Linked DNA regions of Schizosaccharomyces pombe. The protein of the gene in region 1 interacts with the protein of each later gene in a pairwise test. Each region holds a gene or a part of one and is shown on either strand. Other genes may lie near its edges.

What was found.
Region 2: the proteins of sad1 (region 1) and kms1 interact in binary tests that used the Schizosaccharomyces pombe proteins (3 or more experiments, as listed by UniProt).
Region 3: the proteins of sad1 (region 1) and man1 interact in a two-hybrid assay, tested with the Schizosaccharomyces pombe proteins (4 studies listed by BioGRID).

The regions. Positions count from the first base shown.
Region 1 is NC_003423.3:2,301,718-2,307,164, forward strand, and holds sad1 (protein Sad1), read left to right. Parts: upstream 1-2,048; 5' UTR 2,049-2,464; coding exon 2,465-4,009; 3' UTR 4,010-4,040; coding exon of another isoform or gene 4,041-4,523; 3' UTR 4,524-4,944; downstream 4,945-5,447. Other genes in the region: DNA polymerase delta subunit Cdm1, read right to left, coding at 4,041-4,523.
Region 2 is NC_003424.3:3,461,256-3,465,954, reverse strand, and holds kms1 (protein Kms1), read right to left. Parts: upstream 3,058-4,699; 5' UTR 2,891-3,057; coding exon 2,828-2,890; exon of another isoform or gene 2,697-2,827; coding exon 2,257-2,696; exon of another isoform or gene 2,211-2,256; coding exon 890-2,210; 3' UTR 647-889; downstream 1-646. Other genes in the region: sei1 (seipin), read left to right, coding at 1-413, 511-646. UniProt on the Schizosaccharomyces pombe protein: Has a role in karyogamy, recombination and segregation during meiosis. Although it has been shown to associate with the spindle pole body it is unlikely to be involved in its formation or maintenance.
Region 3 is NC_003424.3:5,234,629-5,240,306, forward strand, and holds man1 (LEM domain-containing protein Man1), read right to left. Parts: upstream 3,751-5,678; 5' UTR 3,691-3,750; coding exon 1,156-3,690; 3' UTR 528-1,155; downstream 1-527. Other genes in the region: SPOM_SPAC14C4.04 (uncharacterized protein), read left to right, coding at 1-468; poly(A)-binding protein Nab2, read right to left, coding at 4,177-4,419, 4,466-4,564, 4,608-5,189. UniProt on the Schizosaccharomyces pombe protein: Required for correct meiotic chromosome segregation.

The DNA.
Region 1 (5,447 bases):
TAGGGCGAATTTAGCTACACACTAGCAATGGCTCTAACATATTAACATCTCTTACTACACTATGGTTCACTGGTTTTAACCTTACAACAAGCTCTAACCCAACTGTAACTTATAACCTTACAATGGCTCTAACCTGACAGTAGCTTGTAACCTAATAGCGGCTCGTGAACCTACCATAACTAGTGTGCTTTGTTACAAATCGGTGAATAAAGTAATTTTACTATTACCGTTTAGGAACATACTCATACAACTGCTCTTCGGCGTTAATATTGCGGTCCGACACGTTGGTTAATAAAACTATCTCCTCCGGGATTTCCTTGCTGTAGCCATTACGATATGCGACGTTGATTCACAAGATGTTGCATTATAGCATCCTGACTTGAACCACCTGCAAAAATTTTTTTCATTCTTAGGCGTTTGTTTATTTACTCACCACCCACAGGTGATAATTTGCTATTCACGTTGCACTGCTTTACTTACCGAACGGATCAATTCCACATAGCGAGAGATATCGTAAACGGCAAACAATGTCTGAATTTTCATATGAGTTATTCCACATTGTCAGCTCTATCTACTTTGATGGATCACAAGTTTTCCCGGATTTTAGGGTTGCTCAATAAGCTAACATCGGTTTCGGCCCATGAATGATGTCCAGCGCATGGTTTCTCGTTTGTGTCGCAACACCTAGTCCTGAAGTAGCTGAGTGAGTGTATAAGGTACAGAAATGAAATGAAGTCGTGAGATGAATACACAATCATGAGACATACTTGGCGCCACGTTGAGTAATTGAAATGATTGAACCTTTTTTGACGGTTGGTTGAGCAGATTGATTATTGAGGTTTTATTTATTAGGATTCATTATGTAGCGCACAGGATCAAATACTAGGTTGTGCAATACTACTCGACATTGCCTCAATTCATTACTTTCGCTAGCCAAAAAAACAATACGGGCTAATTGGAAGTTAAACGTGCCATAAATTTCGTCCTTGTTGAAATACTGACGTTTTCAAAGTTACGCATAGCTTGTCTTTGATTCCTTATATACAACATTGTGCAGTTTCTGTTGAATGTAGTGAAACCAAGCGATGAATAAGCTCAAAACATGAAAATTTTTCGTTTCATTTTTTTTTGACAGGACCGTATCAGTGTCGCAGTAAAATGGGATCCTAAGTATGCAAAAACAAGCAGTTAGTTAGACAATTTATGGTTGCGTATTGCTGCTACCTTCGCAATCGGCACAATATTCAAGCAATTTGAAAGCGACTGAATGCCCGAATTTCATTGGCTATATGATGAAAAGCGAAAATCCTACTTTGACGAACTATAAAGTATAATATTCAGCGGCAATGTTGTATTAAACAGTAGAAAGGTTTATTAAAGGTTTATTAAATGTTTATTTACTCAATTGATCATTGTTGAAATTTGCTTTTGAAAATCATTGGCGTAGATTCTCGTGTCGATGAAATGTATCCCTAACAAACGCAAAAACGTTTTTTCAATGCCTAGAAATTGAAGTCGTTGAACTACTACTACAGCAAAATGCCAAATCTGTTTACTTAACTGATTAAAAGTGAAACGATACTGAATACTTTTGATTTTTCAAATAAATTTGGTAGCATATGATCGGTTTCTTGTTCTTTTTCTTTAAAAATTGGAAATCTAAATGCAAACGAAGTAATATTAATAGTGGTAAAAATATTAATAGGTATGGAACTTGCTATTTTATAAGGCTGCTTTATTACTTGAATCCATCAAACTTCTCACTTCACTGAACAGTTTTGCCATGCTCTCACGAAAACTCCTAAATTACCAAACCTGTTTTTTATATAAACACGCGAATTGCTGGATTTGGATCCTATCAGCTTCAAGTACTTAATTCATCAGCGTTCAAACCCTCTTGTATTAACAGTCTACCATTTTTATTCATCAAATATTTCTCGCTTTATTTCCATATATTATGTTATGAATATTTATCGATTGTCAGCGATATATAACGTAGTAAATTCTTAGTGTATACACTTACCGTAAACACAACAAAACTCTTTCTCAGCAGTCAATCTTCGTACCGTCCATTTCTAGTGTGTTTATCTTGGTATTGTATCCTTTATTGTTTGTGAAGGAATTTTCCAGTATTGGAATTGGAATGATACCTCAAGAAAGGTATACTCTGCTAGGGTAGGATCAATTACATACATTGTGTGTATAGGTATCTGTTTTCACATAAAAAAGGCGTCAACGATAATTCGTCTGTTATTAATAATTTATACATTCGCATAAAGCGATCAAAAAGGCATTCAATTACAGAATCCTACTTAAGCTTCACTTTTTTGAATACGAACACTAATTCAAATTCTCGCCTTCCAATACTCTCTTTTCAATTTTTGTCTCTCTTTTTACATATTTATTTATCACTGATTCGTTTGTATATTTTTCTTTTAATTTTCAAATAGCCTTTTATACATCAATGTTTACTAATACACCGGTTGGAGGGAAAAGAGAGCGTCAAAATGGCGCTCATCCAGCTTGGTCGACGTTAGGAGCGAACTCTGCTCAGATTCATCAAAATACGGCTGATTTGGCCTCCAAAATGCATAAACTTCGCTATACAAAGATAAGGTCCCCTCCTACCAGGGTGTCCATTGAATCAATTACTCCTAAACAAAGATTTCCAGCTCCCAATTTCGAACAGGCTTACCACTCTAATATTCGATACGAGCAAGAGGAATCTGATAACGAAGAATTTGAAAACGTAGTGAAAAATGGACACGAAGCTTCGACGAATGTATTCTATGAATCAGATGGAGATGATGAAGAGTTTGTCAATGAAGAATACGAAAACAGCATCGACGAGGAAAGTGATGATGAAGGGTATAGCTTGAACGAGGATACCACCGCAACAAATGCCAGTTTTAGGTACCCGATGAATCAAAGATCTACAAGGAAATCTCAATTTTATTCCTCAAAATTTAAACCATTACTTTGGTTCGGTATCACTCTCTTTTCGACTCTCCTAATAATTACTCTACTTCACAAGGGTCAAGAATTTTACTCAAGATCATTTTCATCAGATAATTCCCAACCATCTAATTCGCCCGTACCAAACATTCCTCCTGCATCCAATGACACCAAAACAAGTTTAAAGCCAGATATTATTAAAGACTTCACAGATTCACCTTCTAAAGTTGGCGGCAATGAGGAATTCGATTATTCGACGGGAGATTTAATTACAAAAAAGGAATTTGACAAGATTTTACAACAAAAAGTAGAGCAATTAAAACAGTCGCTAAAGGAGGAGATGTCTAATTACAAATCATCGGTCCCATTTGAAGTTGAACTAAATGACGATTGGAAGTTCTTCATCGAATCTACGGTTCGAAAATACTTGACCGATCCGGTTTCCATGCCGAATTTTGCATTGCTCTCAACAGGAGCGGAAGTACTACCTGCCTTAACCTCAAAACGCTATGTGAGACGACCATCTGCATTCATACCACGATTTACCTCCTATTTCTTTGATTCGCTCGTTGTTAGAGGACACGAACCTAGCATAGCATTAACTCCCAACAACGCAGTTGCGATGTGTTGGAGCTTTCAAGGTTCAGAGGGACAATTAGGAATTTCCCTATCACGCCCTGTATATGTAACCAATGTCACAATAGAGCACGTTCAGCACAAGATTGCTCATGATCTTTCTAGCGCTCCCAAGGACTTTGAGTTGTGGGTTCAGGGAATGTCCAGCAAGATGTTTGTATTGTTGGGAAAGGCGAGATATTCTTTAACGGAAGACTCTATTCAAACTTTTTCGTTTGAATCCTCCAATTATATTGTCGCTGAACCGATACAGAATGTGATCTTAAAAATAAAAAGCAACTGGGGAAATCCCAATTACACATGCTTGTATCAAGTTCGAGTTCATGGGACTGTACCCAATGCAGACGAACAACCAATACCTTCTTTAGGTGAGAAAGCCGAAAGTACTGCAGAGAATACGGGTCAAGATTCATCTTAAAGACCTACAAAATGTAAGATATAAAAATAATCTAGCCTGGAATGGTTTGAAGATCATAAAAGAGCGATTCTCTTTTTCGATTTTCCTCATCTGCTTCCTCGAGCATCAATATCTTTCCCACTGTTTCTGGAGGATTTAAATTGAAGTTTTTTGCACGTTTCCAGCGTTGCATCCTTGTCATACCAAGATATGGTCCATATCTTGCCGTAGTGTCAAAGTGATGCAAAATGAACTCTACTTTGGTTATATTTTCACAATGTATTGGTTCACTAATCCTTTCAGCCATAATTTGATTCCAAGCCTCTTCTACCTCTTTTGAAAGCTCATCGTCTTCTTTAATTCTCTCATCCAAGGTTTTGGTTGTAATTGTAACATCGGGTGTAGGCGACTGTTCAGAACTCACTTTCTTCCCTATGTGGGATTGACTTGAATTACTTCGAACTACATGTGGAAACACGTCGCGAATATTAGTGTTTTGCCCTGATTTTTTCGCTTGAGTAGTGCGCTTCTTCATACTGCGTGATATAATTCTGTAACACTGCGGTACTAGAATGAAAGGTGCACTATAAATCCAATTCTTTTTCGTGTTTACTCAATTTAGAGCATTAGTTTGTTTGGCCAAAAGAAATCTCTGAAAAAGTACATTTGGTTGCAAGTGTACTTTTAATATGTATATATAACTTTAGATGACTACTATAGCGATGTTTAAAATGCGTCACGCTGACGAGAAAATAAGTATCCAGCCATCCGCTCGTTCTTTATCGTTATACATATATCAGCCTTCATATATATTATTATTCATTTAGGTCCAAGTATTTAAGTGCATTATTGATAATTATTAAAATAGAAACTTCTTGACGACCCCTATTTCGGTATTTCTAGTTCGTTGTTGGAGCAAACAAGAAGTAAACAATACTCGTTATTAGTTCAGATAGTATTGTGGAAATTTCATAATTAGATACAAGTATTTTAGCAATACGTGTTGTCTTAATCCAGCCTTGGTCATGCAATTGAATCACTTGCCAGCCTTCCTAACATATCTTTAATACGTTTCTAAAAAGGGTTTTGGTCTTTACCGATTTAAAATAGGCAATTTCGTAAATGCAAATAGATATACTTATTAACATTTTCAAAATTTAAAAAATTTATAGTTAAATAGCTTTGAGTATTGCAAAATTTGTCTTTTGTGCTTTGCTAAAACAGCGTAACTTTTTACACTGCAATTGAAGCACAAAGACAGTTGAAACTTCAATTCCCTTACAGCTTTTAGTAATTTAAGTATCTAGTTTCATTAAGTTGTCTTTTTTTAAGGGCTTTTAAACTGTTAGTTATACAGTGGTAAACAAACTGACCGGGCTTTCTCAATGATTAAACTGCACTATCATTAAATACAGTGTAGTCAACCAAATTGTTATATTTTTTAATGCAGTCGATAAAT
Region 2 (4,699 bases), on another chromosome or scaffold:
GATCCTAGGTTACCTGGCACATCTTTGCTTCAAATCAAAATGCCGCATTCTCCTCGAAATAGTGCTATGGGCAATTTTATGGTTTCTGTCGATTTTCAAGATAGAAATCAAAGATCTCTGAAGCAGGTTAAACGAACAGTCTTGCTTCCTCATAGGTCTCCTATTCACGAATACCTTAAGCTAATTGTATGTTCACCTCTTTACTTCATGGGGATTTTGGAAGAAACAGATATTGTCAATGTCCGTTTGTTCGAATCTGAAACATTTGCTAAAAGTTTTAATTCAATTACAACACTTTCCGTTAGATTTTCTGTCAAAAATACTCCAGCTCAAGCTATTGTCAAAATTTATTCTAAAGATATTGAATTTTACGAAGCGACTCTAGCTTTTGCATCAAAATTGCACGGCATGCGGTAAGTTTTACTTTTTGATTTACCTTCTTCATTTTTTTTACTTTACTCAATTTCTTTACCTGTTATACTTTTTCACAAACTAACTTGTCCTTACTAGCTGGTTCATGTATACGCATAAGGTTTCCGCATTTCTCGTTTTCACATCTTTATTTTGGTTTACGGGGATAACCTCAACGATAATTACCTATCTTATTGTCTCTTCCACATCTGAAACAAAAGCAACAAGACGTTGAATCTTCTCACATCTTCACTTGCATCTAAAATCATAATCGTCACAACCATAAAAATACATTATTATTAAATTAGAAAGTTCCATTATTGCTTTATCCGTTAGACCCATTATTCAGCTGCACCTTTATGTACAAAAAGTTGAAAAAGGGTAAAGCAATTTAAATCAGCACTGATTTTTTTTTTAGAAAAAAAAAATCTTTCGCTAGCATCTTCATTTTCGTCATTATTTATTAGTCGCCTAATTATCAAGAAGGCTGTACCAGTTCATACCGTCCATAAAGGAGTATAATTATATGTTCGCAAAATGTAAATACAACACGCAAAAAAGCTTGCAATAGCTCGGCGCACAATATGTAATCAAGTCCGTAAAAACAGGCAAAAAGAAAAAGGACGTAAAAAAGTCGCAAAATGTTGGATTTCATAACCGATAAAAGAAGCAAAGGTTGTCCTTTCGTTGCTAGAAAATGGGGGTTGTCTGCATTAACAGTATCTTGAGACGCCATAAAATCTTTAGAGGAGTTATTCATTGTTGTATTAGTTGCCATGAGTCCTGTTTCATCGTCACTAAAGCTCGAAAGAACTGTGCATTCGTGGCTTGATTCTTCATATGTTGGCATAGAGGAATCGTACCGACGACAAAAGTCGTTTAGGGTTGGAGACATTTTGGAAAGGCTTTGAATAATCCATTTTTGGATACCAATTTCCTCTGAAAGCATCAAAAATCCAGCAACCAATTCTTTGTTTCGCGAACTTTCAGCAGTAAGAGAGCTTTGCAATGATTGACTTATGTGTTTGCATTCTTCTATCGTTTTCTTTTGTTGTTTACATTTAAATTCCAATTCTCTTAATTCTTCACTTTCCCGCATTCCAACCGCAGGAATAGAAATGCAAACTGATGGTTGAGTGAAAGAAAGGCCAACCTCTTTGGAGTAAACCATTTCGTCAAGGTTAGAGGGTGATAAAAATTCATCTCCTTTTGGGTTATTAGACAAAGCAATTAAATGTTTTTCTCTAGTAAGATCATCTATGTGGTTGTTTAGCTGATTATTAGAATTTTTTAATTCATGGTTCTCTAAAGCAAGCCGACGAATAGTATTCTCATTTTCACTTGACCGAGATGCAGCCAAGCTTAATTCCTCAATTTTCTTAGTCTGATCTGTAAACTTACGCAAGAGAGTGGCATACCGAACTTGCAAGGCTGAAAGCTCTTTTTTTGTGGAGTAGAGGCCAGAGTTTGTCTGTATGAGTTCTGACTGAATTTTCTGAAAGTTTTTGTGAATGTTTAGATTTTGAGCCTTAAGAGTCTTAATTTGGTTATTTTGCGAATTATTGGCTACCTTAGATTCATTATATTTGGAATCTGCCATATTTAGTTGGTGGGTAAGTTCATTCACTTTTCCTTCTAAAATATCTACAGTACGAGATTTCTTTCTAGCTTGATCTCGAGCTTTATCTAACATATCCTGGAGTTCTGTGATTTGCTTGATTAGATCATGGTGCCCGTTGGAAAAATCAGGTTTATCCTTCCTAACAAGTGGCATCTCAGTATTTCTGGACGACGTATTTCTTCTTGTTAGAATTTTAATGACTTTTCTAAAAAAAAAATTCTTACCTATTTAGTGGTGTAGATTGGGCAAATGGAGTTCGAAGAATATTGACAAAATCACTGTCGGTAAATTGAGACATCGGCGGCAAGGACAGTCTCTTAGACATCATTTGAGAAGGGTTTAAGGATTCAGGAGAGGCATTAGAAGATGATTTTGAATGTGCAGAATTGACAGAGTGTTCATTTGCATCCTCTTTGATAGAATTTTTGGAATTCTGTTGCTCCATCGAAGGCTTTTCAGCTTGATTCGCAAAAGAGTCATCTTCGTTTTCAGTAAGTTTTTTATATACGTCTCGAAAATTATCCTTTGTAATAGAGAGATCTGCATTTTGCCGTACGAATTCGAGTGTACATTGTTTTTGGAATTCGCTCAAAAGAGGTGGTGCAGAAGCGGGATGTAAGAGTTGTAGGTCATTGATGATTGGCAAAAAGTTGGAAAGATGAACCTAAGAAAATTTTTTGTTAATAGTTTATCCTATTGGTAATTGGGTAAAGCGAGAAAAACCAGAGTCTTGAGAGTTTGTCTCTGACTCAATAAACAAGATCTACCTGCATAAGCAATCAATTTTTTTCATACTTTTCCTTCATGTTTAAAGTCATATGAATCGAAAATCAAGTCAAAATCGCGTTCATTTAGCATTTTGGAAAGGGAACTGGCAATTATAATTATACAGGAAACGAACCACAATTCTAGTGGGAATGGGATTCAGTTTTGAATTTTTTTGTTAGAATTTATCATAAAGCTGCGTGCATTTCATAACAGTTCACGAATTCACCGCATTTCTTAAGTGTTGTGAGTTGGGTTTCGTGCAAGGTCTATCCAAGGGTTTGGCAGTAGGGCTGTTGAGCAAGTGGTTTGAGAGACCAAAAAGAAGTACACAGAAAAAGACGGATTAAAATAAAACTTGAAAATAGATAAAAAGATGTTAGAAGAAATCATGTTTATGCTTGATTTAAGAGCAGCTAGAAAAGTAAGGCCACAACTTGGTCGTACTGTGCATACTTAAGTGATAATTCAAATGAAATCGCAAATTAAAAAAAAAAAAAAAAAAAATTATTTTTAGTGAAGTAGAAACTATTCGTATTTGTTTTATAGATCGATCGATTCCTCTGAGAACTTCAAGCGAATTTGCAGTAATTTAGAACGCCAGCATTTATAATTGCGGGTCAAACAACGATCGCCCAAGAATCTTTCATAGACTCCAAATAAGATTGGTTGATTACTTAACTTATATTTTGATCCTTGAATCGTTTTAGTCAATCAACGTCGTATATATTGTACTTTTTAAAAAATACAAGGTTTTGATCGTAAAAAAAGAAATGCATAGAAAAGGTCAGATTTTTTCATCCAAGAATGTGCAATAAATACAGAAATTACTTCTTTTTCTTTCAATTTAGCCAACTCTTTCGAAAACGTCTTCTATTTACATTTTCTATATAGCTACTACTCAGTCAAAACAGTTGGTTAGCATGTTACTTTATGAGAAGCGAGCGATGTGACGTCAAAGGTTTTTTGGCGAAATTAACACTGTCCATATGTATATGTGTTTGAGCGTGTAAAACCTGGTTTCTGCCATTTACATATTTTGAAACCTCTGTACGCTAGTTTAGTTATTTCTCGTATCATTTTATTTTTAACTGGTGCAAGAGACAAGAAAATTCATTTACTTTCGTGAAGATTTGAAAAATTCGTTTGTCAGCTTAGAATTCTTTGCTAGCAGCATTATTTGTACATTTTCAATTGGACCTCTCTTAGCTTTCAAATTTTATTAAATCTTCTTTGTTTTCTTTCTCTTTTGTACGAAGTGATCATCGAAAAGATAGAGAACATCGGGGTTTCCATTTATGGGCGATAATGTATTTTTAGAGCCTGATCCATGGGCATCTAGCAGTAATTGGGGTTCACCAGTGAAGCCTTTAAATTATAAAACAGCAATTGGTTAGTAAAAGTTTTGTTCTTCTGTTTTTTCCTTCTCAATTAATAGTTAATTTTACGGATCGATGCATTCTATCATTGATTTGTTTCTTTAGCTTGATTTTTTTTTTTTTCATCTTTCTTGCTTTTTTACTTACTTACTGTAATGATGCTAACCTTTTTCTTTTTCTTTTTTTTGTCTATAGGTAATTCATCCATTCCTTTGCAATATCGAAATTATTGGGACGTGTTTCAAGCAAACAATGTTCTCTTATTTCCAGAAGAAGAAAGTTATTCTGATATATTTCATGTTCCTCAAGATGTAATGAAAGAGTTCTTTACCTTGATTGAATCATCAAGCAATCAACCCTTACGGCAAATTCAGTTTTTCGTTTTGCTTGCCTTGGTTGCCTGTTATCAATTAGGTGTTCCTAGCACATTGGAACAGATTTTCAAGCAAAGAAATGGTAAGGCTTTTTTTTATCTTTGCTTTTTTTTGTCTTTTTGCTTACTTCCTCCTCCTTAGTCCTGCCC
Region 3 (5,678 bases), on another chromosome or scaffold:
TTTTTAAGTCCTTCAAATATGTCTGATATGAGCTTTACCTTTGAAAACTTTGACTTGGTTTATGTGCCAGGAGGGCAGGATCCCGCTGTTTTAGAACTTGTAGAGTCTCCTCGTCTCAGTTCATTGTTAGCTGACTATATACCTTTATGTGCCCGTGTTAGTGGCACCCGCGTTTTAGCAACAATGGCTCAAGGAGCAATCGCTGTTCAGCGGGCTGCTCCCAATCTTGAGATTAAATCGACTACGACTCCACTTTATATGGAAAGAGCGTCTTATTTATTTGGCGCATCTAATCCTCCGGCTTATACTTATACTTATATTCCTGAATCGAAATACGTACCAGGGCCCAAAACTGCTCACTGGGTTTATTCGGACGAAAAGTTTTTCTATGCTTCCGGTCGTTACTCTGGCGATGTTGAACTACTTTGTAAAGCTTTACGAAATCTCGTAGCAAGTGCATTGCATTAATCTTTCTTATTTGTCTTTACTATTTTATCTTATACTAAACGTGTTAATTATTTCTTTGTTGAGTTTCCCAGATTCTATTTTAATTTCATATTCTATAAATTTCATATTTCTGCGTATTTAGAGTTATATTGCAATAAAGATAATTCAATTTGCGAGTTTGGCTTTTGTTTGATTTGGAGCATTTTATGGCCCTTGTTTATCGTTCATTTTTAGTCCTAGAACTCTAAAAGTGTATTAGACCTGTTTTAGACTGTACCGTTCAATACCGTCGAGGCATTGAATTTTTACAAACATGCCAGAACCCTTCAAAATAAGAACTGTCACATGGAACTCTTTATTTTCATTGAGGCCGGATGCCAAATGCTAATTTGAAATGCTCTTTTAGACAGCTAATGCAAACGGTTCGGGTCTAAATTTGATATTCTTTTTTTAATTAGAAAAACCAATGTTAAATTAATGAAATTTTCGAATCTGTTGATTAAATTTTTCGATAGTGTTTCAATCTATAAGCTCCTGTGCTTAACAAAGTGCAATAACTAAAAAATAATTATATTAACGTGAGGAAAATAATGTTGACATAATAGTACCTACTGATGCTGCACTCGTATCTAGATTCATAAATCATCATGCCAAACGACATTCATAAAGTTTGACCTTAAGGTCATTTTTTATATATCTAACCGTATTTTATAAGGCAATGTCATCTGAAAAAACCCCGATCCATTCCCAAGCACGATTTTTTGCCAAGCGCTCACTGTCCCATACCTTTACGCTTACCATTCCTTCAAGGACTGAAACCACCTTTTCCCATATTTCTAATTGAATTGACAAAGGGAGATGTACAAGTTCAAAAAGGCCCTTGTCATCTGCGACTCCAGATACAAAACAGTCAGAACGTAGCTGCACGACTTCTACACGAGGATTGACAGAAAAATCTGTCAAGGACTTTAGCTTGGTTTTTTGTAGCTTAGCAATACAATGTGAAACGCATACGGAGACTCCATGCTTTACTACATGCTTCTTGGCATAGACTCTTATTCGCCATACAACGGTACCGGTAATAGCTGCCAATATACCAATCAACAAGTAAATTCGCCAACAGGATATAACTGCTGAAGTCAAATACTTCATTAAGGAAACTGTATGAGAGTAGACAGATCGCAAACAATTAGTCGGAAATTTACTCAATGCCCCACGTACTCGGAGCTTCCATAGCTCAAGAGTAAATAGTGGAGAAAATAAGTAATATAGTACTTTTCTTGTCAGCTTTGAATTATATAGACGGTTTAAAGTAGTCTTCAGATATACTTTAAAATCTTTAAGTCCGACTACATTATCGATGTCCTGCTTATACATGTAATATCGATCCTTAAAATTGTCAACAAATGATTTTCCGTTTAAATTCTTTGCACTTTCAAAAGTGGCAAATTCTTTAGGGGCTTTATAGTACCACTTTCCGATAATAGACATAAATGCCTGCACCATCTCTTCAACCTTATTAACCTTCACGGTATTCGGAATACATCGTGGGTATGGTTTTAAGCCGAAATCTGCAAGTAAAGGAAACGAAGCCTTTAATCCTTCTTTGCAAAATAACTGACGATTGAAACCACATTCAGCGTTCTCAGGACAAGGTTGACAAGAGGCTTCAATTCCTAAAGAGTGAGCAAATGAATATGCAGACTCAATAGAGGAACGTAAAACTCCTGGTTGGAGATAATATAGACTAGAAGGATAAGGTTCGGCAGGAACTCCACAGAAGCCAACGCGCTGTACTTCTTGATGCCAAAAGCCTACAAATCCCAAGAGAGGTACGACAAGCAATACAAGCCATAAGGAATTTACCACTTTGGTAAAAGAGAAAATTAAAGAAATGAATGAACCAAGACTAAAGTATGGCCTTTTAGGTTGCCTATCCTTAGTCAAGGAAATATTTTCCTCCACGCGATCAATACCCGTAGTACTAAGACCGAGATCAGAAGAAATCTCATTAACCGAATCATCGTCGGGTTTTTGGGAATCAAATTTTTTCTTCTCTGGCGTCGATGTATTAGATGCTTCTAACCCAAAATTTGTAGAAAACGCAGGGTTGACAGGACGATGAATTGATGCATTTGCTTCGTACAGCTGATTTAGGTGTTCTACAAAAATTGAGGAAGATTGAGATTGAGGAAGGGGTGATGATGAATTCTTTTTGGGATGAGTCCATGAAAAACTGTTATTTTCTGGAGTGAAGTTCTCCGAATTACCAGTAGACAAGCCAACCAAATTGTTGAGTTGGTCAAATGACTTGTTTGATTTGAGATAAGAGTCGGAACTTTGTTGAAAATTTTTTCTGACTGAAAGAAGGTTACTTGGATTACATTCAAGCGAATTCAACGACGACTTGATAGGAGAAGCGTAAACGCTTGACGAACGGGAGGTAAACTTAGGCTTTAGGTTTTCGCCTAAGAAACTGAGAAAAGAACTTTGGTTCAATGGATTTTCGCTTTTTGGAGACGTCGTGTTCAATACCTTTACTGGCGTTGGATCACCCGACACGGAGGCATTAACAAGATAGCTTTGATCATAGTCTAAAAACTTTGAAGCAGGTGTTACGATATTACCAACTTCTGCAGAAAAATCGTAAGTAGCGGTGTCTACAGAAGAATCCTTGTTTGTTAAATTCTGGACAATTGAAAAAGACGATTCCATTGAGTTGTCGAGGTTTACAACTGCCGCATTAAGCTCAGTTTGCGTCTCAAATGGTATATGTGTTATTTCTTCGTTTCGCGAATCTATTTTGGCAATCTTTGAGGCATGAAATTCAGATTCTTCTGAAATGGTTATCGTGTTAGTATTCAAAACTTGAACGTTCTCGTCCTGTAACATCCCCATCACATTATCTTCAAATTGTGAAGTTTTAGAAATTTCTGTATCATTAGCCTCGTCAACCATATTTATTTTTCTCTTAGAGCTAATTCGAGCAGTAACATTATTCGTAACCCCTGCCACCCTTCTACGAGGACTACGAGAAGACGGAGGAACGTTCTTTTGCTGCAATTCTGTCATAGAGATCAAGCCATTTTTTGCCCTTCGTAGTTTACTGAAAAGCGTGATTAACTGCGCTTTCTTCGCCGTTGACGGATAGTATATTTGATATTCAGTTAATATATTACGCAAATCTACTACTCGAAGAGACGAAGGATCATAATCGGGGTCAAAATAAGAAGGGACCTCCATTCAATTAAAAAAAACCTTTTAACTAAAGGGTATGTGTATAGACGTAAAACTGGCGAATGTAAATACCAAGTGATTGTTGTCAACAACATGGTGTAAGCCAAGTAACCAACAAGTAACATAAGATGTATTTAGTAATGAATGTCAACAAACGTGGGTATTTGAATATGTATAATATTAACTTAACCGAAGAAGTAAATAAATCATTATTTGCATAATTCACATCAAAATAAAATTTTCATTCACTAAAAAGACATCAATATAACGAAAACAAATTTTTTAAATCAATTTAGCGACTTGATAATTGCCGATTGCAGCAAACGTAGCGACAAATAAAACTTTATCGTTTTAGCAATCTATACAATAAAATAAATATCAAGTTTGCAAACTCTAGAAGGTATGTTCTTAAACGAAGTATCCTGGCTTGACTATCAAAAGTAGATATGTGCCAATTATACGAACACGAAATAGTATCATAATTCTCTAAATTTACACAGAAGGAACATGAAGTTGTTCTTCTGACTCGTTAACAGCAAACGAACGTTCACTCAGGGACGTCTCTTCTGTTTTAGAGGGTGGCCGCCATGTCATATTTCTGCTTTTCGTCGGGTGGATAAAACGACAAGCTGGATTCAAACACGGTTTATATTTACAAGGAATTGGAATGGTTGACATGGACATGAAAGGTGGTAATGTAGTAACCGTAGCTGGAGATGGATGTCCCTTGACACACTGTATACGTTAGTAATAGTTAGATTTAAATTATTATGGTACTTACATCAGCAGCTTTGCATTCTTTACCAGAAGCACACATTTCACTGCTCAGGACCATACCTTCTCCTGGGGCTGCGGCTGGTGTCGGATGAGCAAATATACACTAAAGAGTTAGTTTTAACAAATTATCTGATATTAATACATACGTTAGCACGGGAGCACTTATCGGCATATTTGCACAAAGGGACCTCTTGGGTTTGAGTGAGAGCACGCTTGGCAGCAGGCATAACGGATTTCGAGTAGTTAAACGAAGCTGCCATGGGATTGAATCGCTGTTTCTGAGATGTAAGTTTGAGCTTTTGTCCGACACGCCCAGTAGGTAGCTCCTTCTCTTCACGTAACGAAGTTATATTAGGAGTTTGAGAAGATTGAGGTTGTATGCTAGTTTCCGGCACAGAGAAAGATTGCTGCGACTTGTCAGTTGACTCCTTCTCGATAAAATCGATTTCGTCGATCTTGCTGACTGACTCAACTGAAGCATTTTTTGATTTTTCAAGCTCTTCAATTTGATTAAATAACCAAAGTGAGAAGCTAGTATCAAAATCGGACCCTATTAAATCAACTAGTTCTTCATTAATTTCAGTTTGTGTTTTTCCATTGCTAAGCATCACAAGAACAAAATCGGCCAGAGAAGCAGCCTCTTCTCCCCACCCATATTCAGAAAGTTTTTTTTCAATCGAATCATGAAGTTTTTCACTATATCCAGGTGTTTCCAGTAATGTAGTCATGTTGTTGGTTTACAGTCAATAATTAACTAAAATAAGCCAAAATAATAGAGATGCTCAAATTTACAATAAATGTACTCCGAGAATTAGTAAATCAATTCCACTCCTGTTATGGAATCAGAATTTAATAAGTTATGTACCGGTATATGCTCTAAAATGAAATCAAATAGCTCAACTTAGCATGAAATAAAGGAATTGAGAAGAAAGAATACAATCACAAAAATATGTTCACAGACAAGAAGTTGGCAAATTTGCCGTTCCAAAAGAAATAAACTTCCTATAGATGATGCGTTCGGAGAGCTTCAATGGAATACGTAGACTAAAGGTAATTTCTAGTAGCAATAGTTATATTGATACTGCAAGCCGTAAGTTAAAATACAGCAAGAGCCTCAGTTCAAACGTAAGTGGAATATAAGAAATATCTTTCACAGTAAGAACAGAAAGAATTAATAAATAGCATAAAATAGCGAGTTTGCTAATTTTTTTTCGAAT